Ovis aries: one gene and its partners. The protein of the gene in region 1 interacts with the protein of each later gene in a pairwise test. Links are inferred from orthologs where the notes say so. Each region holds a gene or a part of one and is shown on either strand. Other genes may lie near its edges.

Region 1 (5,152 bases):
ATCCACCAAAGGGTGGGGGTGGGCAGGGCAGAGGGCTGTCCCAATGTGGCACTCCTGAGTTTTGCTGGAGTGACTAGAGGTGGCAATGTTTCCACACACGCTGGGGAACTGGAGTAGAGAGGGCGAGGACCAGGATCCTGAGGCTGGGGCCCATGTGTCCTGGGAGACTCAGCCCACATTTTCCAGTTGCCTGTTCACCCCTCATCCCATGGTCCACCAACCAGGATGGGCAGCCCAGGCTCAGGAGCCTCGGAGGGGTACAGGCACCCAGCCACATACTTCACTAGGGTTTCCTGCAGGCAAACCCGGAGCCCAGGGCCATGCCGCTGGGCAGCTGCAGGGAGCCAGGTGGCTCAGGCTGCTGCTAGGAGAGGATTCCCAGGACTCCATGGGACCCTGGCCACATGGGGCTGAGCGGCTGGTGCAGCCAGGATGCCTATGGGATCCCCTTGAGGGTGAGACTGCAGCCCGCCCCCCACCCAGGAATAGGATGCAGGCCTGGGCTCCTTGGTCTGTGCTGGGTTCATGCGGCTCCATGCCCAGTGGGGTGGTGATGGTTTGAGGGTTGCTCGGGGGACATGGCAGGGCTGCAGGCCTGGGTGAGAACACCCCTCCATCCACCCTCTTTGTGACCCTCACTGTGCCTGGCCCACCCTGCCAGTCCGGCATGGAGGCCGGTGAGCCCCTCCTCCCCAGCCCTTATCAGGGTCCCACAGAACCTGTTCCCCTTTGCCCTGCTCTAGGGAGCAAGGAGGAGGTTTGTGCTCCAGGGAGGGGGCTGTGCGGGGCAGGGCCCGCACCCTATCTGGTCTTCCTCTTTGTCCCTTCCACCTTGGAGCCTTTCTGTCCTTGGGACCCTGCTTTGCCCACCAGGGTTACAGTCCTCCCCATCTTCTCTCACTGGTGGGTTTGGGGACACTGGGGCCCTTGAGCCTGGGCTCTGACCAGGTTTGAGGGCAGCCCATCCAGAGAAGGAGGACCCCCATGTGGCCAATGGCTTTTACTTGAGCCTGGAGCCACCCGGGGGCCCCCAGACCAGGAGCTGGGGCTCCCTAGGCTAGCTGGGCACACACCTAGCAGGGAGGGGGAAGACAGGGTGCCAAGCTCAGAGAAGGGTGATTTGGTCACCCCTGATGACTACTTGTGGACTCTGGTGACTGGGCCACAGTGCCTCGGGGATGCAGTTCAAATGGGAAGACTGACCTTACTGTGTGTGGCTTCCCCTCCGGATCTCTTGGAGGCTAAGGCTGAGGGACGAGACAGAACCTTCAAGGCCCAAGGACAGGAGCCGCTGCATGGCCTGCAGAGGGCCTCCTGCCCAGCTGGACCAGGCACAGGGATGGCCTGGGCCCATTTGGGCTCCAGGGTTCTGAGAACATCCAGGTAATCCACTCCAGAACCCAGGTCCAGCCCTTCACTAGGCGCCCCTGGGTCCGTGGCTGCCCCACGTCCCTGTAGTGGGTGCTGCCCTCCCCTCCCCAGGCAGCACTGACTGTCATCTGGAACCTTCTGCTTTCAGAGGCCCCCCTGGCTCCCAGCCCAGGAACCAGGAGCATAACCCAAGCATAACAGGGAGCATAACCCACCCCTGCCCCTCCCCCACTAAGGTCCTAGAGCCAGAACCAGCCCTCTGCTGCCTTGGGAGAGTTCCTTCTGCTCTAGTCCCTCCCTTTGTGCCAAGAGACCCCACCCTGTCCTGCAGAAGATAGTGAGAACCACTGCCCCCACTGTGGTGGCCCTGTTGCTGAGGCCTCCGCCAGGGGCCCCGTGACACAGTCCCGCTGCAGCGAGCATGTGACACGGGCTGCCACGCTGGCCCCTTCCAGAAAGTGGCGGGCCCCAGCGGCCCCTGGCTGCTCCCCCACCCAGGGCATCTGGGCGGGCAGGACTGTTACTGCCCTACTGTTGGAGTAAAGGCCACTGCTGTCCCCCAGCAAGACACAGGGGTCAGGAGGCTGGGGCGGGCTGGCTGGGCACATTCCAGAACTGACCGCCCAGGGCCATCACTCGTCACAACTCGTCGGGGCTGCTGTCTTCGTTATGGGGCTTGAGGACAGGACCAAGTGCTGGTGCTATGGCCCAGAGCCAAGCCACTGGGCAGCTGGCAGCCGTCCCCCTCGGGGGCAACATGGACCCCACTCTCTCTGCAACCCCCGGGGCCAGGGCACTGACAGCGCCCTGTCCTGGGGAGGCCAGGACCACATGGATGGGCAGATCCTGGGCCAGCTGCGCCCCCTGGCAGAGGAGGAGGAGGAAGATGGTGCTGCTCTGGCACCGAGGCCTGCCTTCCCCGGGATGGGCTCAGAGGAGCTGCGGCTGGCCTCCTTCTACGACTGGCCGCTGAGTGCCGTGGTACCGCCGGAGTTGCTGGCCGCTGCGGGCTTCTTCCACACTGGTGAGTCCCGGGGGTCCCCACGGCCCTTCTACACCTGCTCCCTGCCCTACAGTCTCTTTTGTGCTTCAGACCTGGGGAGACGCCAGAACAGCATGGAGCAGTTAGACCTGTGCTGGGGGGACAGTGTTGGTGTCAGAGGTGCCAGGAGGAGGAACGGGAGGTGTGGGGTATCCACTGGTCCCGGGGTCCAGGGAGAGCTCTCAGAGGGCTGGTGGTGTGGGATGGCTGTAGCAGCCCCTGATCTGAGGTCTCTGCTCCAAATCTGTTGATTGTAGGGGATGAGGCAGGGGTGACAGCCACAGGGGTAGAGAGATGAGGTCCCCGTTCCCGTTTAAGGAGTTGTGAGCTTCTAAAACCAAGCCTGGAAGCACACAGCCCCCCTTCTTTCCATCACTGGGAATCCATCCTAAGAGGAGGCACCTGGGGCAGAAGTGCAGGGTGGGGACACCAGGGTTTCCCCCACCTCCCCTTCCCTAACACGCACCTGGATCCTGGCAAGTGCCCCAAGCATGGTACCCCCCCATCCCACCTTTGAGAAATGGAGTGAATGTGAATTCCAAGGAGAATGCCAGGCAAAGTGATGGCGAAGGCCAGTGGGAGCCCCCAAGGCTCACAAATAACCCCAGAGAGCCCTGCCCTAGAAGGAAAGGCCACCTGGGAGCCCTGACCCCAGCCCAGGGGGGAAGCCCCCAGCCATACAAGGGACCCAGTGTGGTCAAGACCAGTGTCTCGGCTCCACCCCAGGCCAGCAGGACAAGGTGAGGTGCTTCTTCTGCTACGGGGGTCTGCAGAGCTGGGAGCGAGGCGACGACCCCTGGACCGAGCATGCCAGATGGTTCCCCAGGTACCACCTCCCCTCCCCAGTCCCAGGGTGTCTCGGGGAACCAGGATGGGGGGACTCTCTGGGGACAGCACTTCTAGTTCTCCCTTGATGTTCAAGACTCTGTCTCCAAAACAGCTTCCCAGAAAGCCCACCACCCGGCGGGAAGCAGGGGTCCCCTGGCTCAACCTGGACAGTGCGGGGTCCTCTGACAGCCCAAGCCTCTAGGCTGTCATGTCTGAATCCGCTTTCCTCAGGTGTGAGTTCCTGCTCCGGACAAAAGGAAGGGACTTTGTCTGCAGGGTTCAGGAGTCCTGTTGCTGCCCACCGGGCTCCTGGGTGAGTCCTTCCTGCCCTTAGGGCTTCAGGGGGTGGTGGTGAGGGGCCTGCCCCAGCCCTGCTCCTTCACCTGCTCGGGGCACAGGGTTTCTCTGACTTCTTCCAGGACCGGTCGGAGGAACCGGAAGATGTGGGTCCTGCCACCCCCTCAGGTGAGCCGGGATGCGAGGCCTGTGTTGGCTCCCTTGGGCACCTTGGCCCGCACCACGGCCGGCTCCACTGGGTGTGCTGCCTGCAGACAGCAGGAGAGTGAAGGTTGCTTGGCTGGGCCTGCGGGTGTGCTGCTTGGGCTTGCTTCACTGGGGGGCTTCACACAGGCATTGCGCGTGTGTCCCAGGCTCTGGAGAGGCCCCTGCTACCCCTGAACTGGCTGCCGTGGGCATGGCCAGCCCTGAGAAGGGCAGAGGGACATAGAGGGACAGGCTGCCATCAGCCAACCATGCCTGAGAGCTGACCGGTCGCTGTCCCCATCACACAGAGTCCGGCCCTCTGCCCTCTGTCGGTGCCCAGGGTCTGAGGGGCTCCAGGCTTGGGTCCATACTGCGCTACCTGAGCTTCAGTGCCCTGAGCTGTGAAGTGGGCCTGGTGCCAACCTCACCTGGGATCAAACAAGAGTCTGTGTGCCACCCTGGGAGCAGTACCCGGCTCTTAGTCAGCTTCTGTGATCAGGTTTACGTCTTCCCTGTGCGTGGCACCTCTGACAAAGGCCCTGGGAACACAACTCTGGACACAGAGGCAGCGGCCGTGATGGCGCCAGGGCCCCTTGTAATGACGACGTGGCCCTGCTGACGGGCCACAGTGGCCGGCCGCTGTCTCTGCTGGGACCCTGAGGCCGCAGCCCCTGCCTGCCCTTGGCCCAGCACCCCTCGTTCTGCCTTGCAGATGTGGGGGGCGGCCAGGGGTGGCCAGCATGGAGCCAGTGCCCAGCAGTCCAGGCCGTGCTTCGCATGGGCTTCAGGCCGGGCCAAGTGCAAGGGCTGCTGCAGCGCAAGTACCACCAGATGGCGCTGACCGGCATGTCCACGTCGCAACTGGTAGCCGACCTGCTCCAGGAAGAGGACGGGGGCCGGGTGGTGGGGGCCAGAGGTATGTTCCTGTCTCTGGGCACAGCCCACCTCTCCTTCCTTATTCCCTCTGGGCACAGATGCCCCTGCTGCCCCCATGGTGCCGGGCACAGAGCATCCATCACCACTGCACAAGGGGCTGAACAGGCAGAGTTCTGGTGGAAAGTAGACTCTGGGACACTGGTGTGCTGTGGGCGGGGGAGCTGGGGCTAGACACTGCCTGTGGCCTGTTGGCTGGGGGCTGGGCCTCAGGTCCCCTGGGAGCCTCACGTCTGTTCTAACTGCCCACAGCTCCTGCCCTGCCAGGGCCTGAGCTGCTCACACCCAGAATAGAGGCTCAGGTGGAGAGTGCCCTGGAGTCAGGTGAGGGTGAGCGCCATCTGGGGTTGGCCGGGGCTGGCCCTCCTGCATTCCACAGTGGGGATGGGCACTCCCTGTTTGGCCTGCCTTGCCCCTCAGCCAGTACAGAGGGCAGAGGTCAAGGTGTGGGCACGGTGTCACAGGTCCCCCCGGCGGAGAACCGGGAGGCGTGCA
Region 2 (4,445 bases), on another chromosome or scaffold:
AATCCAGCAGCAGCTTCCCTTTCTCTGTAACAGTGGGAGGGAGGCAGGTTAATGGAGGTCAGGAGAATGACAGGAGGTAAGGAAAATGAAAGAAGTTTCCTCTTTCCTCTGTGTTGTTTGTTTTCGCCAAGTCTGAGGTTGAAGTGGCCACAGTTGAATGATCCCCTGATGCTATAGCATCATGAGATGCAAACCTCTAAAAGTTAGACAGGGTTCAGGCTACTCCAACTAGATGGAGGTGCCACTTTGGGACAGCAGTGACCATGTTTGGGAGCCCCTGGATGCCTGGATCGACCTCTACTTTCCCACTAGCCTCATCGGCAGCGACGCTGAGGACTGGCTTACCTCCACCACAGGCCTGGATGAAGAAGAGCTTGGGCTTCCCTCCCAAGCTGGGGCAGCCAGTACCATTGAAAGTGTTCACAATTCTCTCAACGGACACAGGACATCCGTCTGTGCCATAAACAGCCCCTGGGAACTGGCGGTGGCTGGCCTAGAAGACCAAGAACTCTGGTGACAAACCCAAGAAGTTACGGTAGGAATCCAATGGCCTGTTTGTGCAGAGGCTTTGTGGGGACCAAGCATTTAGAAGGTTCCACCAGGGGCACAAGGCTGAGTGAAACACAGCAGGTTGGTCCTGGGCAGCCTCAATTCCAAGGGTCTCAAACTCACATGCCTATAAGCACCAGATAGCCTAACTCAAGAACACTGGCCAGCTTCCTCTAGACTGGTTGTTCTCAAAGTGTGGTCCCTGGACCAGCAGCATCAGCATCACCTGGAAACTTACAAGACATGCAAATTTTCCCAAATCAGAAACCTGGGTAGTGGGGACCAGAAATCTAGCCCTTCAGGTACCTCTGTTACAGCTAAACTGAGAATGACTATGCTAGAACAATTCCTCTTAAACTTTGTGTTTACAAGGGTCTTGTTAAGGTACAGGCTCTGAATGAGAACCTACATTCTCCTGAGCTGCCAGGCGATGCCCATGCTGCTGTCCAGAGGCCACACTGTGAATGAAAGGACCAAAGGGGTGGCCCCAGCCCAGCCACAGGCCAGAATTTTGCTCTTTGAGGATAAGGGCCTGATGGGTCAGACCTTTGTGGTTTTTCAGGACAAGCTGAAAATCATGACTTCCGTGCTACAGTCGCCAGTTTTGAAAACACTGTACAATCCACTGGGGTTGTTACCTCTGCTCTGTCCAGCCCTTCAACTCAAAAGATGAGGACACTGAGGCCCAGAAAGGGGGAAGAGTCTTGGCCACCATGACCCAGCACATTAGTGGTCAAGGCCAGAGTGGGTCCCAGCGTCCCAAACTCATAGCCAGCACCAAAGGGCCCGGAACAACATTCAGCAGGACCAAGACAGGAGCTGGAAGCTCTTGTAAGCTGTGCCCGGCTCAGAACAAAATCCAGCTTACCTCTTCCTGACTCTCCCAGATGGTTTCTCCCAGGGTCGCAGCCCTCCCACCCAGGAGGAGCACCCAACCCCTCAGAGGGCCAAGTGGCTTCTGAGAAAACAGCAGGAGGTGGACAGGGCCCTGTGGCTCTTCCCACAAAGGCCAGGGGGTCTTGGACACAGGAAGGGACGAGGCTCCTGCAGGGCCTCTCGGGGCAGCCTTCCTGGGCGCCTGCTAGAGAAGGTGAGCCCACCAACCTGACAGCCGTGAGAGAGGATGACCACCACGCAGCAGTCCAGAGCGCCGTGGTCCCGCCGCGCCAGCTGCGTCAAAGCCTGGACCATTTGCTACAAGAGAGGGCCGGGGGTGAGCCCGACCACTGATGGACCAGGTCCTCATCCTCGGCCAGTCCCCTGCTCCCAGGGCCAGTCGTGAAGTAAGGACAGTCACAGTGATCACAGGAGAAGACAGGGGAAGAGATGCTGGGCTGGGCACTCTGTCTACTCCTACAATGTCCCTGGTGGCTCAGACGGTAAAGAATCTCCCTGCAATACAGGAGACCTGGATTCGACCTCTGGGTCGGGAAGACCCTGGAGGAGGAAATGGCAACCCACTCCAGCACTCTTGCCTGGAGAATTCCATGGGCAGAGGAGCCTGGTGGGCTACAGTCCATGGAGTCACAAAGAGTCAGACATGACTGAGCGACTAACACTTACCTAACCCAACCGTAGGACATGAGCATGGGTCTCGATTTATAGATAGAGAAGCTCAGGGTCGGGAGTCACACAGGGAGTTGGGGAGTCAGTCCTCAACCCGGGTCTCCGAGTCTGGAGCTTTCGCTGGTAACCAGTGAGCCACACTGCCTCTTGCGGTCCTACAGACTGAAGGGCTCGTCTCGGGGAGTCGCTGGCTTTCAGGGGCCCTCTCTAGGACACTAGCCCATGAGCCCCCATTTCTGTCCGTGCGTAGGGCCCGTACCTTGGCAGTCAGGTCACATCTCACCTCCACCGCCAACTGCAGCAGGTGGAAGCGCCGCTGCATCCTCTCACAGTCGATGTTGGAGCCCGTGCGGGTCATGAGCCCCGACTCACGGCAGAAGTTCACGTTGTTGATGATCAGGCAGTGGCCGCAGGGGTCTGCGTTCAGGACATAGGCCTGCCCAAGCAGAGGGACCAGCGTAAACCAGGGCCTCGCTGCACTCCTCGGGAGAGAAGGCGACCCCCTGGGTCTCACCCACGGGGAGGGCAGTCTGGAGAGATGGGACAGAGCCCGCAGTCTGCCTCCCTCTGAAGCGGGTGTCTGGCATCCACACCACACACACGCAGCTGTGTGATGGATGATCAGCTAAACCTGGGACAGAAGATTAGCTCCCCTCAGAGTACTCAGGATGGAACCGCTAGCTGAGAAATCCAGCTCCCCTAGACACTGACCTCCAAAGGACCAACAGGTCGCCCAGTCCTGGAGAGTACTGACAATCGCGTGATCAGCTCTGCTGGCAGACTCCTGCCCAAGCCACCCTTGAAGAGTCTGAGGCCACTTCCTCTCAAGGTTCAATGTTTCTCTAGTAATTCTCTCTCACAGCAGCCTGGGTTTTTTTTGCTGTTCCTGGTGGCTCAGAGGTTAAAGCGTCTGCCTGCAATGCGGGAGACCTGGGTTCCATCCCCGGGTGGGGAAGATCCCCTGGAGAAGGAAATGGCAACCCACTCCAGTATTCTTGCCTGAAGAATCCCATGGATGGAGGAGCCTGGTGGACTACAGTCCCCACGGTTGCAAAGATTCGGGCATGACTGAGCGGCTTCACTCACTCACACTCACAATATTTACACTTATATATTTCTTTGTGTGACTAGTCTCACTAGGCTGATGGCTCCATGAGGGCTAGAAACTTGAGTGGTTGGTTCCCAGGTGTCCTAGCGCAAAGTCCAGGCTGACACAGGGAAGTCACACAATAAATACTGTGACTGAGACAGGGAGTGACTTGGTCCAGGATAGGTGCCACAGCCGATTCTCACACTGACCCCTACTTAGATCTAACCCAACTTCACAGATGAGGAAAGGGCAGGGTTAGACGATCTGCTTCAGGACAGCTGTACCAGGGTCAGGGTGCTATAGGAGGTTCAGGACTGAGCTGGGCTGAGCTCCTGGGGCTCCTGACACAGCTGCAGGAAGGACCTGGGAAGCAGAGAGCGGAAGAGCAGAAAGCCAACACAATCGGCTCCAAATGACATGAAGACTCACCAGATCGGCATTTCCCTTGGCTCTGTCCTGAGGACCTGGAGAGAGAAAGAGGGAAAACGTGAATGTCAGGGTCCAACAGGGAAGGGACAAGGGACCCTGTGAGGACACCTCCCACAGAAACATAGAAACGCAGAAGAGCAGGAACACAGGAACTCCTGGGGACTGCTGGTGAAGTTAAGTGGCACAGCCACCTTGGGGAACTATTGAGAAGTTTCCAGGGCTTTCCCTGGTGGTACAGTGGATAAGGATCCACTTGCCAACGCAGGGGACACAGGTTTTATCCCTGGGATGCACCACAATGACTGACGACTGTGCACCTAGAGCCCTGCTCCACCACAAGAGCAGCCCCTGCAATGAGAAGCCCGTTGCGCCACAACAAGAGCAGCCCCTACTCGCCTCGACTAGAGAAAGGCCACGCACAGCAGCGAAGACCCAGCACAGCCAAAAATAAATAAATAGTTTTTTAAGACTTTTTTTTTTTTAAAAAAAGAAGTTTCCAATAAGGTTGAACACACACCTACTCTCCGACCAGCAACTCTACTCCCAGGTACAGAGCCAAGAGAAATGAGCACAGTGAGCACCAAACAACTTGGCCATGAATGATCATCAAAGCCTTATTCATACTCCCCAAACTAGAAACAACCCAAACATCCACCAGCAAGTGGATGGGTAAGGCAACTGTGACACAACTATACAAAGGGACACGACAGAGCTTAAAAAGGAAGGAGGTACATGCAACACCATGGATAACTGCAAAAACACCATTCTGAGTTTTTAAACAGCCGGCAGAGTGCATACGGTGTGATTCCAT
Region 3 (4,898 bases), on another chromosome or scaffold:
GGCAGTTCTTTGCCACTGAGCCACTGTGGGAGCCCCAGATCTATTATTCAGTTCAGTTGAGTCGCTCAGTCGTGTCCGACTCTTTGCAACCCCATGAATCGCAGCATGTCAGGCCTCCGTGATTTTCTAATTTTCTCAGCTGTTCTACATTTATTAATCACAATTCTTGAGAACTCTCCCTTGTCATCTATTTGGTTATTCTGAAATTCAATCCAGATAGGTAAGATGGGATAAATGCTATATTCTTCATCAATTTTCACTATAAGTTGGTATCCTGGCAACTTCCAAAGGTGACCAGTGAGTTTTTATCCAGGAGGTAACATCTTGTACTTTTGGAATATATCATTTGAAGTCATTATTCTTTCTGATGCTCAAATTGCCTGCCTTTGGCCAGTGGAAGCTCCAACTTGGCTCCTGTGCCCTTTAGACAAGTTCTCAGTAGTCCTTTCTCCAGATTCATCTTGTACATTTCCTGCCCTAGACTGAAGATCATTAATTTTCTAAGGAGCTTTGGTTCCTACGTTTATGATGATGTGTTATCTAGCTTATTGAGCACTAGTGGTGGGAGGGCTTTGAGGGTGTCTAGAAGTGCCTTTCTCTGCTCCTGTGAGGGGCTTCTGTCCTTTCTCTGGCCTTTCCTCCTCTTCCAGATCTAGTGTGGACAGTGGGCGCGGGAGAACTGAGACCAGCCTGAACCTGCTTTCAGAGCCCTTATTTCAGGACTCTGAGGGCAGCCCTAACACTGAGGGTTCAGAGGTGATTTGGGGAAAACTTTTGGTTGCTCTGAAAATTTTTTTATCCTGTTTTGTCTAAATCCCCTGTCTGCAGGTGAACCAGTGTGTTATTGGCACAGCCCAGGCCAACAAGAAATGAAGATGGATCTAGATTGTGTGTGTGTATGTGTGAGACACACGGGGGGGGGGGGAGGGGGGTAGTGGGCGCTGATACCTGGGCCTATCAAATAAAGAAGAGAATTTTTTGTTGTTTTTAAATAAAGGTTTTATTAGCGGTTGTCCAATAAGGGGGGAGCTGTGGCTCTTCCATTCTGCCAAACGTCTGTGTCTCACGGGGACAGGGCTCCGGCTTTTCTAACGGGTCACTCCAGAGTCAGGGTGGCCCCCGCCCTGCTCCCGTCCCTATCCACGTCCGGGGGGTTGCGCGCACCAGGTGTCCAGTCACTAGTTCCGCTTCCTCCGGCACAGGCCACCCTCGCCCGGGGCAGGAACTCTTGAGTGCGGAAAGGTGGGAGTCCGGGGCGGGGCCGGCGCGTCCGCCCACAAGCTGCGGGCTCTCTCCTCCCGCTCTTTTCCTTCCCTTTCGAACCGCCGGGGCTAGCTCCGCCCGCCGCCATTGGCTGGCTCTCGGCGGCGTCACCGCCTCGGTCCGAGCTCTTCTAGTCGGTGCACCCGCCTCGGCCGCGCGGGGCGGGGCGCATAGGCTAACTCCCTCGCGCCAAGCGCCGAGGGCCGCCGCCCCGTCAGAGGGCTGGGTCTTCCCAGGTGCCGCGCGCGCGGGAGGGGTCGCGCGTGCGCAGAGGCGCGGCGACAGTGGGCGGGGTGGGGGCATCTAACTCCGGGGGGGCGGGGCCGGGGCAAAGGCGGGAGGAGGCGGAGCCCGCGGAGGCCGGGGCAAAGGCGGGAGGAGGCGGAGCCCGCGGGGCCGGGGCGGGGCGGGGGCCATGGGACGGGTGAATGGAGGGCGGGGTCGTGAACTGGAGCGCGGGGCGGGGCCCGGAGTGACCCTGCGGGGCCGGGGGCAGTTAACGGATGTGGCGCGGGGCGGCGGCCCGGCCGGCGGCCTAGCGGGGGATTCCCTCCTGCCCCGAGGGCAGGCCTCTCTCCGGAGGAAGGGGCTGCGGGGATTCCCTCTCCCGCCGGGTCCGCGAGCCCGCCCGCCCCATCCACGGAGACGCTCCCACTCGCTCCGCGCCCTCCAGGCCCGCTGGCGGTGAGGGAGGTGGGGTGAGGAGGTGCCCGCCCCCCCGGCTCCTCCTTCCCCCCGCCCTCCCCTCCCTCCACCCTCCCCCCGAGCAGGTTTGTCCCTCCCCTCCCCTCCCCTCCTTCCCCCCGCCGCCTCCTCCTGCCGCTGCCGCTGCTTTGGCTGCTGCGTCATACGCCCCAGAGCCGCCGGGACGGAGGGGCTGGGCCTGGGGACCCCCCGGTCTCTGCCTGCACGCCCCCCCGACGCCCAGCCGTGCCCTCCCCGCGCGGGGGTTTCACCTCAGTCTCCCACGTCTGCCTCTGCCCGGCTCCCGGCGGCCCCAGCTGTCACTGGTAAGGAGGCGGCGGGAGGCGCCCGTGGGGGGGCAGGGAGCCGGGGGTCGGCGCGCAGGGCGCGGGCGGGAGAGCCGCGCCGCCCGGGCGGCGGGTCGGGCTGGGCCGACTCAAGCCCCCTCTCCCACTCGCCGTCCTGGGGAGAAGAGACCCGGACTGGGACACGCCCCCCTCCCGGGGCACTCAGGGAAGTTCTCTAACCCGGGGGCAGGGAGCCCCGAATTTGAGGGTGACCTGACATAACCTAGCACCAAGATGATTGTTCTGAATGAGACACGGGGGCCCCGGAGGCAACCTTTTCCACTCGAAAACATCTCCAGAAAAAGCTCCCAAAACACGTCTCTGGGAAACAGCACCCCAATTGTAATACCTCTATAAACAGCGGTAGAAGGTGACAGTAGAAACTGAGTGGCAACCTTTGCCTCTGCAACCATCCTTTTTGCTAAAATCTCAAGGCCGGGATACAACGTCCCAGGGGAGCTCTGGCAGCTGGGAAACTAGAGAACTAGGTTGGTGGGGTGGGGGGACGGTGGGGAGAAGAGAACCACTGGTGACTGTTGGGAGAGCTGGAGTCAGGAAGGCCCAAGGGGTGCCCAGGGGTTTCCTACCCAGGTGTCTCAGGGAAATGGAGGCTGGGCACACCTGCTCAAGCCTTTGACAGAAAAACAGGCAAAGAAAATGGGGGCTAGTTCCTCAATATTGGTAACTTTCTCCTACCATCTCACTTCTAACTAGGCCCCCCCAGGATGCAATGGCACAGCCCCCCCGGCTGAGCCGCTCTGGTGCCCCCCCACTTTGGGACCCAGCTTCTCCTGCTCCCACCTCAGGCCCCCGGCCTCGACTTTGGGAGGGTCAAGATGTGCTGGCCAGATGGACAGATGGGCTGCTATACTTGGGGACCATCAAAAAGGTATGACCTCTGACCTGTCACCTTTTCTCATTCCCCTTATCTAGTCTGATTCCTGTTCCATCTTCTGTGCTCACCCATTCCAGGTGGACAGTGCTCGGGAGGTGTGTTTGGTTCAGTTTGAGGATGATTCCCAGTTTCTGGTTCTATGGAAAGACATTAGCCCTGGTGAGAAGCCTGAGAATGGATCCAAGGGAAAACAAACCTGGCATGGGGGACAGAAAGGGGCTGGAGGACAGGCCCTCTGACACTCTGTTCTCTCACAGCGGCCCTCCCTGGGGAGGAACTCCTCTGCTGTGTATGTCGCTCTGAGACTGTGGTCCCTGGGAACCGGCTGGTCAGCTGTGAGAAGTGTCGCCATGGTGGGTGAGAGGGCAGGACACCTGAATGGTCTAGCTTGCCCTAGGTCTACCAGGGTGCTTCTGATCCTTCTCTCCAGCTCTGGTCCTTATACTGTCTGTCCTGGTCTGAGTCCCCAAGCCACTGCTCTGAGCAGTCTCCACAAGCCTGTAACCTCACTCCCTGCCAGCACAGGGAGGGGCAGCCTTGGGATGGGATGCATGAGCTCTGCGGGCAGAGGGTGTGAGTGAGCAAAAGTCTCTCAGTTGTGTCTGACTCTTTGCTACCCCATGAAAAGTACAGTCCATGGAATTCTCCAGGCCAGGATACTAGAGTGGGTAGTCTTTCCCTTTTCGAGGGAATCTTCCCCACCCAGGGATCAAACCCAGGTTCCCCACATTGCAGGCAGAATTTTTACTAGCTGAGCCACAAGGGAAGCCCAAGCACAAGAATACTGGAGTGTGTAGCCTATACCTTTTCCAGGGGATCTTCCTGACCCAGAAGTTGAACCAGGGTCTCCTGCATTGCAGGTGTTCTTTACCAACTGAGCTATCAAGGAAGTCCCAGATGCAGGCAGAGGGTAGTTCCAGTACGGCTTTTTCTAACCATTTGACCTTGGGCAAGTCCCTAAACTTCTAAGAATCACAGCTGCCTCACCTGCTTTTAAAATAAAGATAATACACCCACCTTACCAGGACCATGGTCAAGAACAAAATGAGATGGGGTTAAGACTCTTGTCCCAATACCTAGCGCGCACAGGTACGCAATGCAATAAGTGGTCTACTGTCAATATTCTCATTATTCAGCTTATCACCAGGACTGCCACGTTCCAAGGGCTCCAGCCCCTGGAGAGGGAGAGGGCGCATCCTGGGTCTGCCGCCAGTGCGTCTTTGCCATCGCCACCAAGGTAAGGGCCCCTCCCTGTGGGACCTCCAACTCTCAGCCTCTCCTGGACCCTTCCTTCCTCCACCCCTGAGGCCACCTGTCTGTTCCACCTGCAGAGGGGGGGTGCACTGAAGAAGGGCCCCTACGCCCGGGCCATGCTGGGCATGAAGCTCTCCCTGCCATATGGACTGAAGGGGTTGGACTGGGACGCTGGACATCTGAGCAACCGCCAGCAGAGCTACTGTTACTGTGGTGGCCCTGGGGAGTGAGTAGTGAGGGGCGGGGGGCTAGGGAACAAGTGATGGGGGTGGGAACAAAGGAGAATGGCAGGGTGGTAGGAGTGCTGAAGGGGGCGGGAGAGTGGTGAGCAGGGTTTGGGGCGGTTAAGGAGGGTGTGTCTGGGGGGTCACTGGTCCCGTTTCACTTCAGGTGGAACCTGAAGATGCTGCAGTGCCGGAGCTGCCTGCAGTGGTTCCACGAGGCCTGCACCCAGT
Region 4 (4,904 bases), on another chromosome or scaffold:
CCAGATGCTTTAGAATTCTAAACTCTTAAAACTTGGAGGAGATCATCTCATCCAGCTTCCTTATCTTGCAGAAGAGGAAACCAAGGTTGAAGAGAGAGAGCTGGTATGGAAGGGGGCTGGAATTTAAAATCCCCTCTTGGTTCCTGCGGCAGTTCAAGAAATTCTTTTCTTGCCATGTGCCTCCACTGAATGACTCATACCCAGGGGCTTATTTTTTTTTACTGCCACAATTTTGGTAATTTTTGCTAAGACGGTGTATTCGTGATATTTTCCTAACAGGATGCTTTACTGATTAGTTAGGTGAAAGAAATGCATGAAATATAAACTTCTAAATAAATATTTATTACAAAATGTTTTCTACTCAAAGCATCCCTTAGTATCAAAACCATATTACTGGAAGCCCTAAACCACTTTTCAATTGCCTTTCAAATTTACTTCTCACTTAAAACATTTACTCTTTACTCATTTATTCATTCAATATTCATTGAGTGCCTACTAGCACTAGCCACTGTTACTCTAGGCTTACAGAAGTAAAGCTGCCCTTCCCCCCCAAGAGGGATAGGTTTCTCCAGTTTTCCCTATATATTCAGTTACTGAACATATCTTAGTTCAGTGGTTTTCATACTGTGGTCTCTGAACCAGCAGCACCTGGGAACTTGCTAAAAATGCAAATTAGGCCCACCTTACACTCTTTTGTTTTTTCTTAAGCTCTCCAGGGATCCTGATGTACATTCAAGTTTTAAAGCTATGGTTTTAGTTCCACGGCTTGTTATTATCTAAGTAGGCCAAAGATCAACATCTGGCTTCTAAACTCATCTCAGGCATCTCCACTGAGACCCGGTCTCAATTACAACTGAGATACAACAATGACCATACTTAATTTAATGATTTGTTGTACCTGGAAAGATCCTGGGATGACTGCAGTAATAGAACTGTAACGGCTGCAGGACAAAAACGAACCGCAGTGGCTTTTCAGAACCAACAGAAAATGGGCCAGACCGAGTTCCCGGACAGTGTTTTCCGACACTAGACACAGCCGGATACATTAAGCCCGTGGTCTGGCTGAGTCAGGGCGGCGCTCCAAGCTTAGAGGGGCCGCGTGAACCCGTCAGGTTGGACTCGAACCTTCGGCTAGAGGCGAAGGTCTGGAAGCCTCCACCGTACCACCTACGTTCATACAGGGGCGGAGGCGCCGGAGACGACCCGTGAGGCCCGGGAAGCCCTGGCCCGCGCGGAAGCCGCACCCTCCTGGCTCCAGACGCCGACAGGGCGGAGCCACGCGGCCGCAGCTCAGGCAGAGACGCGCCGCACAGCGCGGCGCAGGTTCGCGGCTAAGGCGTATGGGGCTACAACGGGAGCGGCTGCGCCGCCGGGCCGGGTCAGCGTCGTGCGCATGCGCGGACCCGGCGCCATTTTGGTGGCCGGGCGCGGAGGTGATTCCACACTGAAGATAGTGCGGCGGCCGGGGTGGCAGTGGCAGCGTTCGTGTGCTCGGGTGTGAATCGCCGGGGGAGGAGGCGGTGGAGGAAGAGGTGGCGGCGGTGGCGGTGGTCGTAGCGGTGGCGGAGGAGGCGGGTACGAATCAGCTGCGGGCGGAGACATGGCCAACATCGCGGTGCAGCGAATCAAGCGGGAGTTCAAGGAGGTGCTGAAGAGCGAGGAGGTCAGAAATGAACTCCCGGACGTCCCCCACATCAGCCCAGGGCGGGAGGGCCCTTCCGGTGGCAATCCCAATATCCCTGGTAACCCCCGGTTGGCCTTCTTTGCGGCCGCCCTTCTGCCTGTGGGGAAGCAGCAGTCTCCCCCCTCCTTCCGCCGCCTTCCCCTCCCCTCCCCGGGCCCTGGGATGGACGGTCTCGCGGGCGGGGGGTCTGGGGAGGAATAAGGTTTAAGGGGCAGATGGAGAAAGGGCGCTTATCGTCGGGTGTGAGCTCTAGAGAGCGCCCCACGGCAGTGGCAACAGCTGGAAGTGTGGCTGTAGGGTGGGGAGGTAGCAGGCCGAGCCTGAGAAAACCCGGGAAGTGGGTTGGGGGAAGGGGAAAGGTGGTAACTGGATCCGGAGAGCCGCGTCGCTCAAAGGCCCACACTTTTCAGGGTATTCTGGGTTATGGCCGGTCTGGCTGCCACCCTCCTTTCCTTACCGAAGGAGTGATTGATGAGAGAAGGATGTTCGGAGTTAACTCCCTCTCGGTTGGGTGTTGGGAGAAAAGAGAAGACATAATGGGGTACTAGCTTATTTGAGTGGGCGATAAGGGAATTTTCACCAGAGATAGAAAATTAATTCCGTATTAGACTATTATCTCATTTCCACTTACTCCGACATTCTAGGCGTCTTTTTCGATTGACATCTGAAGCTTTTTGACTAGGTAAAGGCACGTTCGGTATATTAAATACGTTTAAATATTTTTAGCTAAGATAAGGAAAAAATAGTGGAGTGTATGAGTAGCTTATTTCAAAATACTGTTTACAAGTTATAGATGAGAGAGTCTGTCCTAAGACAATGCCTCTGTGACACTGTTGTGTTGTGCCATTTGTGCCATGAAACTTCATTATGATGTCCCCATAGTTAGTTCTTACTTTTGAAAAAGTGTCCTACTTAAAAACATGAGATTTCGGATTAATACATTGTTATGTTTCTTTATTAAGTAGGTTTATTCCAACATATATCTGAAATGATGAAAAATTTTTGTCTCAAGCTACTACTCTTCAGTCCTGTAGAAATTTTAGGTACGCTGATATTGGCCACATTTGTTAATATATTTTAAATGTTTCGGTAATTTGACTCAAAATTATGAAAGTATAGTACATTTTTCACACCCATAATCAACAGGAATGCTAGTTTGTTTTTCCTCCTTGGACTCAACAAAGATTAAAAATACTGAATGGTTATTTTCAAGATGTCAAATATCGTTATCGAATATATTATTGCTATTTGTGCTTTTCTCTTATTTGTGAAATTCAGCATTCTAAGTATGTGATGAGTTATTGACAAGTCTGATAGCAAGCACTTGAACTTTATTTGTGCCACTGAATCTGAAGTGATTTTGTGTCTTTACAGATAGACGTGGAGAAGATTCTTTAAAATTATTTAAAAATGCCAAATCCTAGCAGATTTATTGAATATAATAGTATATAAGTAATGATTGGTTTTACAGAGCATGTGTATAAACTCTGACCTCTGTATTTGTTCAAGTGCCAAAACTCTGAATGGAAGGATGACTTTGTGTTTTTGTGGTACAGTGCAGAAAAAGAATCATAAATACCTGCACTGTGATATATAGTGAGACAGTGATTCTAAATTTTTCTTTAGTAAGAAAAGATTTTCCAGGATACTTGACATATATCTTCCTAATGAAAGTTTGCAGCTAGTATTATTGCCAGTAGCCTAGAACATTTCTTCTGTAGTACGGTTGTACAAGCCTGAAACTTAGTATAAGACTTTAATGCTTTATTTTCTATTACTTAAAAGTATAAGTAATTCGTATAGTCTCTGCATTATGTGAAGTGACTTTTCACCATGATATTCTTACTACTTGAAGTTTAAAAGAAATCTTGTATTGCTCTAGTAATGCATATTGTTAAAATAATACAGCTTTTTATATATGAGCAATGAATGATGAAACCTTGTTTCAAGTAAGTGATGTAGTGTTTCAGAGGAAGAAAACAAAATCCAAACAGGAAAATTATTTTTTTAAGAACAGTGTCTGTATAAATCTGGAATGAAACTTCTTCCAGAAAGAACATTTAGGAAATGTAATTCAACTAATTACAGATAATTTAATATTGGAATTTATAACCAATAAATAGCTTTATTTTCACCAATATATTTTATTTCATTGATACTTAAGTCCAATTCTATAGGTGTATTATGTTGATTATTTTCAGTACGTTGAAGTACAGTCCACATGTTTCCTTTTTATGTATGTAAATGCAGTATTTGAGTGGCTGGTATAATTAAGTATTTCCTCATGTCATCTATGTAAATCTTCATTTTACCAAAGTTTATTTCATATTTTTGTGTTTACTAAGAATCTTGATTGATTTTAAGGATTTCCCCTCCCCCTTTTAAGTGTCTTTGTAAAGATAGCTTACATCTGGCGGTAAGAAGTTGTAAATGGCCACTGTTGGAGTGTGTTGTTAATTAAAATACAGCCTCAAGATAAATTAAATGTGGAAAGTACAGGATAGAATCAGTGAGAAGAGGCCACCATTAGTGTCAGAAGTAGGGAAGTATGTGTATTTGTATAGGTGAAAGGATTAAGGAGAAATTGGTAACATTGTTTCTCTGTAGAAGAATTGGGTGTCTGGGGCAACAGGGATCAAAAGAATCCTTTTGAATTTTGAATCATGCTAATATGTTATTTACTAAAAATAAATAAGCCATGTAGGCCTTTTTTCCATGAAACTGTGTTTGAAAATCTGTCACTTGTCTGAGATATTAATTTATTTAAATCTGTAGAAGTAATATTTCAAAGTTGCAAGGAATAGAAAATTGATTTACAGTACACTTAATAGGTGTATTTTTAGTTGAATTACATAAGTGAATTGTAGCTTATGAGGACGGAGTAAAGCTATAATCTGTACTCATAGAGGTTATATTATTATTTATTATAAATTGTTACTGGTATTAACAACCACCATTTGTAAAGGAACTAGCAGCTCCATTTGTTTATATACATTACTGCTAATTCTCAAGAACAGGTCCTTGAATTAGATTTTTTATTTCTTACATGAGAAAATTGAGATTCAGAAAAGTTAAATTATTTGTCTGCGAACATACACCTCTGGGATTTAGATCTAAGTTTGCTTGTGTTTATATTATACCATGCTGTCCTGACTTGTCAGATGTAGGCATACTTTTAATTATTTAAAAATAATTGAACTTGGTTTGTATTACTGATTAA
Region 5 (5,240 bases), on another chromosome or scaffold:
CTTCCATACCTCTGCTCCCCATTCCCATTCTGGATTAAGTGTCTGTGTGGGATACCCCCCAAAAAAATCCCGACCTCCACCCTACCGCCATCATCTTTTTTTACTTTCAGCTGCCTTTGCCACATTACACTGGAGTCATTTGTTTATGTTGGCCTCATCATACACAGACATTAGGCAAAAGGCAAAGCCACCTCTCCTTGTTTTGCACTGAATGAGATGAAGCATGGAGAAGTGGCATCAGGAATAGGAATTAAACCTTGATTAAACTTTGTGACACCTATATCGGAAACCCTGACTAGTAACCCAACAGAGCTTGGCCAAGCATGCGCAATAAAGGTTCTATACAACCTGGTGTTTCACTCCAAGGGAAAATTAAAGGGGGGAAAGCTCTTAGTGTGGTGGCTTTAGGAGACAGATGCACAAGAGAAGCTGTTATAACCACCCATCCTCCCAATAATAAATAGACCGTCCCTAATCAAATAAGTCAAGTGGGCCTTAAGAAGCATTACTATGAGCAAGGCTAGTGGAGGTGATGGAATTCCAGTTGAACTATTTAAAAGCCTAAAAGATGATGCTGTTAAAGTACAGCACTCAATATGCCAGCAAATTTGGAAAAACTAAGCAGTGACCACAAGACTGGAAAAGGTCAGTTTTCATTCCAATCCCAAAGAAAGGCAATGCCAAACAATGTCCAAACTACTGCACAACTGCAGTCGTTTCACATGCCAGCAAAATTATGCTCAAAATTCCCCAAGCTAGGCTTCAATGGTATGTGAACCAAGAACTTCCAGATGTTCAAGCTGGATTTAGAAAAGGCAGAGGAACTAGAGGCCAAATTGCCAACATCCTCTGGATCATAGAAAAAGCAAGAGAAGTCCAGAAAAACATTTACTTCTGCTTCAATGAGTAAGCTAAAGCCTTTGACTGTGTGGATCACAACTGTGGAAAATTAAAGAGATGAGAATACCAGACCACATTGCCTGCCTCCTGAAAAACCTGTATGCAGATCCAGAAGCAACAGTCAGAACTGGAGATGGAACAATGGACTGGTTCAAAATTGGGGAAGGAGGACGTCAAGGCTGTGTATTGTCACCCTGCTTATTTAACTTATATGCAGAGTACTAGATGAAGCACAAGCTGCAGTCAAGATTGCTGGGAGAAATATCAATAACCTCAGATACGTAGGTGACACGATCCTAACGGCAGAAACCGAAGAGGAACTAAACAGCCTCTTGATGAAAGTGAAAGAGAAGAGTGAAAAAGCTGGCTTAAAACTCAACATTCAAAAAACTAAGATCATGGCATCTGAACCATCATTTCATGACAGACAAACGGGGAAAAAATGGTAACAGTGACAGACTTCATTTTCTTGGGCTCCAAAGTTACTGCAGACGGTGACTGCAGCCTTGAAAGACACTTGCTCCTTGGAAGAAAAGCTATGACAAAGCTAGACAGCACATTAAAAAGCAGAGACATCACTTTGCTGACAAAGGTCCATATAGTCACAGCTATGGTTTTTCCAGTAGCCGTGCATGGATGTGAGAGAAAGCTGAGTGCCAAAGAATTGATGCCTTCGAATTGTGGTGCTGGAGAAGACTCTTGAGAGTTCCTTAGACAACAAGGAAGATCAAATGATCAAACCAGTCAATCCTAGAAGAAATAAACCCTGAACATTCATTGAAGGACTGAGGCTGAAGCTGAAGCTCCAATACTTTGGCCACGCAATGCCAAGAGCTGACTCACTGCAAACGAGTGATGCTGGGAAAGATTGAGGGCAAGAGGAGAAGTGGGTGACAGAGGATGAGATGGTTGGATGGTATCACTGACTCAATGGACATGAGTTTGAGCAAACTCCAGGAGATACTGAACGACAGGGAAGCTTGTCGTGCTGCATTCCCTGGGGTCACAAAGTCAGACCCAACTGAGCAACTGAAGAACAACAACAAAGAAACCTGCACCCATTCAAGGAATTAAAATAATGGAGTGGGGCTAGAAAGACCCTCAGGTGGTCTCCTCACTCGTGTGGACACTCGTATTCTTCTGTGAGTGCCTGCTTTCCCTTCTCCTTAATAAATTGCTTCTTTGTTCTCTCTACACCTCAGTTTCTCTGTGTGACATTTTTTTGCACTTTGGACAGGTAGAATAAGAACCTGGACCTTTACTTTAGCATGTCCCACATCACAAGTATGGCAGGAGACAGACGGGCTCCAGCTGAGGAATTTCCTATCAGCCTCCTGTTTGCCCTCCAGAAACGAAGAGAGAACAGAAACAGAGTCAACAGTCTTTGTCTCTAGTAAATATCTTGAAGAAATAATTATAGCAAGAACAAAGCAAGGCGAAATCCCTCGTCTGAGTAAGGATTAAGGGATCTCCGCTTCCCCCTTTTTAGGATAAGGAAGATACATCACAAGTGCAGAAAGGCTACTTGGGGTCAAAAGTCAGAGGATAATTCAGGCCATAACGAGTCTTGCTCTTCCCAGAAGCCTTCACTTCCAGATCCATCTTGGCTAAGAGGTGAGTGTGCATCCCATGGGAGGGTCCTGCCCGTGTGCCTTTCTACATGTACTTCTCTTTTCAATCAACTTCGTACTTTACTCTGTACCTTCTGCCTCCTCGCCTGAATTCGTTCTTGACTAGGCAGACAAGGACTAGGGACTCTAGCCCTAACTGCTGGCTCCTGTGGTCGTAGTTAGGACTACCGGTGGGGGAAGCTACAACCCCGCTTCCAGCTACCGCCCTCTGCCCCTTGCTGCAAGCTGCCCTTTTCTGCTGCGCCTTGGAAATTACAAGGACAGCTTCTAAGGCACAGGTTGCTCATATCACAAAGTCCGATCCCACAGTTCCAGCTCCACCTACCTTCTCAAAGCGGTCCTGGTCCCAGGCATCATCGTAGCCGCAATAGTTACCGGGAAAGTCAGTGGTATGAACCTAGAGCAAAGAGAGACGAGAATGTCTGCGAAGGGGCAGCGAGGCCAAGCCCGTCCCCACTCTGACGCCAACTCATCCCTGATTCACTCTGCTCCCGAGCTGAAGGCCACAAGACTTACATTGCGAACCCCAAACTCCCCTAGAACCACGCGGGTCCTCATTTCCTCCACAGCCTGGGCCGCCGCCATCTTCAACTCCTCCACGTGACCAGAGTACCTAACTGATGCGTGCGCACTAGTCGTCCGCCTCCGTTTCTGTAGCAACGCACCTCCTAGAATCTTAAATATCGCGAGACTGTGCCTTGCCTCCGTCCACGTCCCCAGCTACCGGAAGTTGGTTTGAGCCAAACATCCGGGTTTCTCCTTTTTTTGCATTCCGACCCATAGTACCTTTCTTTCTTGTCCCTAGACCTGTCCCTTTCTCAGGCCCGCATCTCTCCCACTCCTCCTCCGCGCGCGGGACAAGCACGGGCTTCAGCGACGGGAGCCCTCGAGGGACATGGCAACTCCGGCGGCGCCGGCTGGCGGCGCCCGAAACGGGACCGGCCCGGAATGGGGAGGGTTCGAAGAAAACATCCAGGTAATGGCCCCACGGCTCCGGCTGCCCGCAGCCCCTGGGCCGGCAGCCGCCCTGAACTCTCCCTCAGAGCCTGGAAGTCTGGTCCATTTGCAACACTTTTTATCTTCTTTTGAGTCTTCGTGCACAAGAAAGGCAGTGGGGCTAGTGCTGGTCTTAAAGCTCCAGACTGGTACTCCAGCCAGGGGCCTTAGGTATCTGGGCCCAATTGCTCTTGCTTTCCACAAGTTTAGGAAAGTCAGTCGGAGACAGGCATGGCGGGAGTGGGCTTGGGGGTGGATGGGATTCACTAGCCAAAACCACACTTGGTGCGCATAGCCTTGTTTTGGGGTTGGGAGAGATGAAGGAAATGGGCACTTTGCAGCCCTTTGGGGCCTTGGTAGGGAAGGTAGGAAAAAGCCGTGTATGGAAGACAGGGACTAGGTTCCCCAGACTAGAACAGAGCACCAAACAAGCAGGGGTTCTGAGACCAAATGAGGAGAAGAGAGTGGCGTCATCTGTGGCGATTTCAAGTCCCCTAGCCCCAAACCTTGTGGTGAACGGAGAAGGACTCAACTGGACGAAGCAGAAAGGTCCTGCACTCTAGGGTCTGTTGTCTTCACAGGGTGGGGGCTCAGCAGTGATTGACATGGAGAACATGGATGATACCTCAGGCTCCAGCTTCGAGGACATGGGTGAGCTGCATCAGCGCCTGCGTGAGGAAGAAGTGGATGCTGATGCAGCTGCTGCTGAAGAAGAGGATGGGGAGTTCCTGGGGATGAAGGGCTTTAAGGGACAGCTGAGCCGGCAGGTGGCTGATCAGGTAAGCACAGTTGGCTCCCTGACAGGTGGAAAAGTATACCGAGGAGACCTCTGGTTCTGGAGTTGGTGAAGTCCACCCCAGGTTGTCCAGTTCACACCATTTTGAAATCAGATAAAAAATAAGTAACATAGAGCCAAGAGTTTGACAGCACCCTTTCACCCCACCCATCTTCCTTGCTATAGATGTGGCAGGCAGGGAAGAGACAAGCCTCCAGAGCCTTCAGCTTGTATGCCAACATCGACATCCTGAGACCCTACTTTGATGTGGAGCCAGCCCAGGTGCGAAGCAGGTGAGGCTCCTCCTCCTGACAGAAACTGCCCTCCTAACACCCAGTCCTTCATCCAAACTACAACCGGACATCAAACCCTTAGACTCGCCTTGTTATGACCCAGCCACACCATTCCTCTTGTCATAGAACAGGGCGTAGTGATAACACACTGCCTTCCTCCTCTTCTCCATCTAATAAACTGTTCATCTTCCCTCAAAGCTTGGCTCAAATGTCACTTCCTTTGCTCCCCCTACCCGGTTTGTCCTTTCCTCGTGCTCCAGCAGGGCTCTCTGCACTTCTCCCAGGTAACATGTCAGCAGTGCTGTACTTCCTTATTCCTGGGTCTCTCTTTCCAAAGACTTCCTCAGAAGCAGGCTCTGTTTTGTTTACTTTTAAATTCTCAGGACCAGAACAGCCTCTGAATCTGAATATCAGTACATAGTTGTTGAATGACTTCAAGAACTGGATTTAATCTTGGCTTGGTTCTTTGTTCATCCTTTAATTCAACTAGTGCTTATCAAATACCCACTACCACTTAGCAAGTATTTACTAACTTTGGCTGTGCATCAGGCGCTGTAGTAGTTGTGTCTGGGAACCTTAGATGTAAGATGGGATGCCTAACTCAAGGGCAGCCCTCAAGCACTCATTTGCCATGAAGGGACACAC
Region 6 (4,445 bases), on another chromosome or scaffold:
CCCTTCAAAGTTAGTTCCTCCATCAGGTTAATCTCATAGGGTTTCTGCAAATGGGAATTCTGAAGGGGAAAAAAAAAAAGTATCATAGTTAAAGCAGAGTTTATTTCTTTAAATAAACTTTAACTCAAAATATATCCTCATACATGTCTGTCTGATAAACTCTTAATTGAAGGGATGCGGCTCTCTTTAAAATATATAATCTGTCATTACCATAAAATGGGAGATCTAATGTCCAGATATACAGCTAAGTTATTACTATTTTGTACTTTAAATATAAGATTATGCTGCAATCAATTTATCTAGCATCAATGGCTATGTCAGACACCAGCTTAATGAACAAATAAAAATCAAAATACTTCGGTATCTTAAAACTTGAAACCAGCATAAAATATACACTAGTAATATAATTATGGATAAAGGTATACTCATGGCCAACAGGAAGGTACTGCTTCTAAGTACAGATTTATACTCACCATGAACTTCTGTACACTAAGAGGGAAAGTAGCAGAATATAATAAAATCTGTCTGTTTTTAGGTAGCGTGAGAATAATATCCTCCATTATCTGCACAAAATCCTGTGACAGCAACTTATCTGCCTGCAGTACAAAGAGAAGATGATCTTAAACACAATGAAATCATGTCTATGGTTTTTTGTTAATAAGGAATCAATCATTCCAGCAAGAGAGTTCACAGAATGTTCCTGGCTGTAAACACTATATAGTCCAAAGGCACCAAGACACATTCAGTGATACAAAAAAAGGGAAAGTCTGTAATACTGATCTAAGGGAAAAAAAATCCTAGACAGACATAATCCTTATTCTCATAAAAAATTTTAATGTGATTTCCATTAAAGAGACATTATGGTATAATAGTTAGAAGTACAGGCTACATCATTAAACTACCTGTATTTAAAACTTGTCAGGGATACAGTTTTTTGAGGCAGAAGGAGGGTGTGTTTCCCTTTGCCTGGCAAATAATAAAAGCTATCCTTTTCTACTTCACCCCCTCACACACACAAACAAAAAACTTGCTTCCTTCGCTATTATCTATGTTGGGAGGTTTCTTAACTTCTATTTCAGTTTCCACAATTTAAAAATCAAGATGTCTTCTTATTGTAGGAATTACTTTCTAGGATAACTACCTTATAGGATTGTTGTAAAAATTCAATGAAAAAACATGTAAAGCACTTAGTGCTAACACAGTCACTAATAACTGTGCTCTCTCATTACTCAAAGATAAAAACCTGTTTCAAATTAGACCAAGAGGAAACGGATCCAGTTATCTTAAAACAGACCAAATAGGAAAATAACTTCATTTCAAAACATCAACACTGGGGGGTGTGGGGGTGCTCAAGGAGAGAAGCCTGGAGCCTGATGTACAGCAAAAACAATGTAACACTGTGAAGCTATTATCTTTCAATTAAAAATTTAAAAACCCAAAACATCAACACTGATTGAATATACATATAAAACACTTGCTTGCTAGGTCCCAAGAATGCAGAGCTAAGTTCTCAAAAGGCACTTATAGTCTGGTGAGAGAACACATATAACAGAGACAAAAAACCAAACAATACCAAATTGAGTATGTTAAATGAGGGGTTTTTAAGATGCCTTTTTTTTAACATGCTTTTTAAGATCAATCACAGAATGAAGACAGATGTAGAATGGCCTTGGCTTTGAGGTTATTCAATGACTTCTCAGTGCAAAATAAAAATAAACTATCTGACTTCCCTAAGAAAAAGACACAAGGCTGAATCATTCCTATAAACACCTATCACCTATTGCTTTTAAAAGGCAAAACATGTTTTAGAAGCAAGTTATTTTGAACAAACCAACAAGAGTAATGAATTTACTAGAAGGTCTTAAACACAAAGAGGTTATCCTTCATTCATTGGCAGTTATAAACAAAGCCAAATCAGTACAGAATGGTATGTTTCCAAATGAAAAAAATGTTACCTCATCCAATACTATCATCTGGACATGATCAACTTTTGCTACGCCTTTCTTGATAAGATCCAGGATTCTTCCAGGGGTAGCTATCACCACATGCACTACACAAGATTAGAAAACATGTATTTTCATTAATTTTAGTTGGGGCAAAAAGGATACAGTAAAGGTTTATCACATACATAGTGTATCAGAAACACTGCTGTAGGAATAATACAAAGAGGCCAAGATGTATTTTAGAATATGGATTTCCATCTCATCTTCAGTTGGCTAGAGAATACCAGTTAGTTTCACCTCTGCATGCAGTGGGCTACAGCTTTCCAATTCACCTGTTCCAAATAAGGAACATAGTTTTTTGTCTGAGGGAAACCCCCAGGGAAAAACAAAAAGTATGCCGAACTTTTGATATAGCTGCTGCTGCTAAGTCACTTCAGTCGTGATACAGCAGCTTGCCTCTAATAGATCAATGGTCTGCAGAAGACTGTAACAGGATCAAGTAAGATGATCATTTTTAATTAACAAGGCAGTATAAAGAATATAGTAATTAAACTAATCAAGTAACAATCATATATAAAATCCTGACTAAAATTCAATGTATAACTAAATGGATTTCAACTCTTGCTGTTTTCTTTTTTTCACTAAATAATGTTATCATGGAGAACTCTTCATGAAAATGAATACAGATCAGCTGCACTCTTTAATGGCTATGTGGCATTCCATTCAGTCTATACCCCAGTATATTTAGCCAAATTTCCCTGATATTGTTCCAGTTTTTCGGTACTACAAACCACACTGTAGTGGACAACCTTGCATTTGTCCAATCATTTCTTCAAAAAAAGATCATTAAAAACATACATGTATAATTTTGAAACATAATGCCAAATTGCCCACCATAGAGATTGTATCAATCTATACCCCTATGTTGCAAGACAACAAATTTCTTCACAAATGCATATTCAGTTCAGTTCAGTCACTCAGTCGTGTCCGACTCTTGGTGACCCCATGAATTGCAGCACGCCAGGCCTCCCTGTCCATCACCAACTCCTGGAGTTCACTCAAACTCATGTCCATCGAGTCAGTGATGCCATCCAGCCATCTCATCCTCTGTCATCCCCTTCTCCTGCCCCCAATCCCTCCCAGCATCAGTCTTTTCCAATGAGTCAACTCTTAGCATGAGGTGGCCAAAGTATTGGAGTTTCAGCTTTAGCATCATTCCTTCCAAAGAAATCCCAGGGCTGATCTCCTTCAGAATGGATTGGTTGGATCTCCTTGCAATCCAAGGGACTCTCAAGAGTCTTCTCCAACACCACAGTACAAAAGCATCAATTCTTCGGCGCTCAGCCTTCTTCACAGTCCAACTCTCACATCCATACATGACCACTGGAAAAACCATAGCCTTGACTAGACGGACCTTAGTCGACAAAGTAATGTCTCTGCTTTTGAATATGCTATCTAGGTTGGTCATAACTTTTCTTCCAAGGAGTAAGCGTCTTTTAATTTCATGGCTGCAATCACCATCTGCAGTGATTTTGGATTACTAATTAGCCTTTCCAATCTTAATTAATCTTGTCAATCAGATAGGTACAATATCAATTTACTGTTTTTATATGCAATTTAAAAAATTACTAGTAAGGTTAAATATCCTTCCAATGACTAAAATAATTTTTTTCTTCTTGACTGAAATGGTCATTTCCTTTATTCATTTTTCTACTGCAATGTTTGTTCCCTATTTTAAAAACAATTTTAATAAATTACTGAAACACTTGTGTGTCAAATTACAGACAGCAAGCCAGCTTGTATCCAATCATTTCTTACCTGTATCATCAAGCCTCATTATGTCATCCCGTAAATTGGTTCCTCCTGTGGTTGCCATCACTTTGGCCCCTCCCATGTGTTTGCTGACCTGGATGCAAATTTGACTGACCTGTAGAGCAAGTTCTCTAGTGGGAACAATCACCATTGCTGGAAAATATCAACAAACAGAAAAAAGGAGAGAGGAGGGGGGAAAAGCCATATTTTAAGAGTTTAAGAAGCTATAGAAATATTGCCCCTTGTAATCAAGACACTCAAATGAATAAATTTCAAAAAAAGAAACTATTATAGTGTACCAGATTTAGACTTCTCCTCAGTAACAATGCTATACAATTCTTCTACTCTTCCTGGTTACAAAGCCTTAAAGGGTTCTTTGAGTTGGCAATTATTAACTCAAAATTTGTTAGTATTTTAGTAAGAGATCACTAGTCAAAATGCCCAAATAGGAAACTCCTGCTGCCCAGTTCTACTTATATCATATGAACATAATAGGAAGATGGCAGAAATAATTATAGATCAAGAAACCATGGGGAGAAAAAAACTGAAAACTTTACAAAAAGCTTTAGAGGTGAAAACATAGATCTACTGGGTACAGTTACGGAAATGTGTCTCTTCCATACTACTTAAGATTTTAAAATCCCCAAGCCACAAGGCTTCAGAGAGAAAAAGTTCCTGCTTTTACAAGGA

The links.
Region 2: the proteins of BIRC7 (region 1) and CASP9 interact in binary tests that used the Homo sapiens proteins (3 or more experiments, as listed by UniProt). The two-hybrid records come from large-scale screens. The link is inferred for Ovis aries from reciprocal best matches to the Homo sapiens genes BIRC7 and CASP9.
Region 3: the proteins of BIRC7 (region 1) and PHF1 interact in binary tests that used the Homo sapiens proteins (3 or more experiments, as listed by UniProt). The two-hybrid records come from large-scale screens. The link is inferred for Ovis aries from reciprocal best matches to the Homo sapiens genes BIRC7 and PHF1.
Region 4: the proteins of BIRC7 (region 1) and UBE2K interact in binary tests that used the Homo sapiens proteins (3 or more experiments, as listed by UniProt). The link is inferred for Ovis aries from reciprocal best matches to the Homo sapiens genes BIRC7 and UBE2K.
Region 5: the proteins of BIRC7 (region 1) and POLR1C interact in binary tests that used the Homo sapiens proteins (3 or more experiments, as listed by UniProt). The two-hybrid records come from large-scale screens. The link is inferred for Ovis aries from reciprocal best matches to the Homo sapiens genes BIRC7 and POLR1C.
Region 6: the proteins of BIRC7 (region 1) and DDX6 interact in a two-hybrid assay, tested with the Homo sapiens proteins (3 studies listed by BioGRID and IntAct). The two-hybrid records come from large-scale screens. The link is inferred for Ovis aries from reciprocal best matches to the Homo sapiens genes BIRC7 and DDX6.

The regions. Positions count from the first base shown.
Region 1 is NC_056066.1:54,020,791-54,025,942, reverse strand, and holds the start of BIRC7 (baculoviral IAP repeat-containing protein 7), read left to right. Parts: upstream 1-1,865; 5' UTR 1,866-2,040; coding exon 2,041-2,395; intron 2,396-3,139; coding exon 3,140-3,239; intron 3,240-3,472; coding exon 3,473-3,554; intron 3,555-3,660; coding exon 3,661-3,706; intron 3,707-4,436; coding exon 4,437-4,640; intron 4,641-4,909; coding exon 4,910-4,981; intron 4,982-5,121; coding exon 5,122-5,152.
Region 2 is NC_056065.1:51,318,298-51,322,742, reverse strand, and holds part of CASP9 (caspase-9), read right to left. Parts: intron 3,670-4,445; coding exon 3,635-3,669; intron 2,552-3,634; coding exon 2,375-2,551; intron 1,744-2,374; coding exon 1,654-1,743; intron 494-1,653; coding exon 346-493; intron 1-345. UniProt on the Homo sapiens protein: Involved in the activation cascade of caspases responsible for apoptosis execution. Binding of caspase-9 to Apaf-1 leads to activation of the protease which then cleaves and activates effector caspases caspase-3 (CASP3) or caspase-7 (CASP7).
Region 3 is NC_056073.1:7,740,972-7,745,869, forward strand, and holds the start of PHF1 (PHD finger protein 1), read left to right. Parts: upstream 1-1,757; 5' UTR 1,758-2,273; intron 2,274-3,008; 5' UTR 3,009-3,024; coding exon 3,025-3,183; intron 3,184-3,266; coding exon 3,267-3,348; intron 3,349-3,446; coding exon 3,447-3,542; intron 3,543-4,325; coding exon 4,326-4,426; intron 4,427-4,520; coding exon 4,521-4,669; intron 4,670-4,833; coding exon 4,834-4,898. UniProt on the Homo sapiens protein: Polycomb group (PcG) that specifically binds histone H3 trimethylated at 'Lys-36' (H3K36me3) and recruits the PRC2 complex. Involved in DNA damage response and is recruited at double-strand breaks (DSBs).
Region 4 is NC_056059.1:59,505,282-59,510,185, forward strand, and holds the start of UBE2K (ubiquitin-conjugating enzyme E2 K), read left to right. Parts: upstream 1-1,411; 5' UTR 1,412-1,600; coding exon 1,601-1,663; intron 1,664-2,649; exon of another isoform or gene 2,650-2,727; intron 2,728-4,904. UniProt on the Homo sapiens protein: Accepts ubiquitin from the E1 complex and catalyzes its covalent attachment to other proteins. In vitro, in the presence or in the absence of BRCA1-BARD1 E3 ubiquitin-protein ligase complex, catalyzes the synthesis of 'Lys-48'-linked polyubiquitin chains.
Region 5 is NC_056073.1:17,057,385-17,062,624, reverse strand, and holds the start of POLR1C (DNA-directed RNA polymerases I and III subunit RPAC1), read right to left. Parts: upstream 3,138-5,240; 5' UTR 3,117-3,137; coding exon 3,048-3,116; intron 2,929-3,047; coding exon 2,857-2,928; intron 1-2,856. Other genes in the region: protein YIPF3, read left to right, coding at 3,427-3,507, 4,109-4,306, 4,489-4,595. UniProt on the Homo sapiens protein: DNA-dependent RNA polymerase catalyzes the transcription of DNA into RNA using the four ribonucleoside triphosphates as substrates.
Region 6 is NC_056068.1:29,108,533-29,112,977, forward strand, and holds part of DDX6 (probable ATP-dependent RNA helicase DDX6), read right to left. Parts: intron 3,909-4,445; coding exon 3,762-3,908; intron 2,051-3,761; coding exon 1,956-2,050; intron 597-1,955; coding exon 474-596; intron 60-473; coding exon 1-59.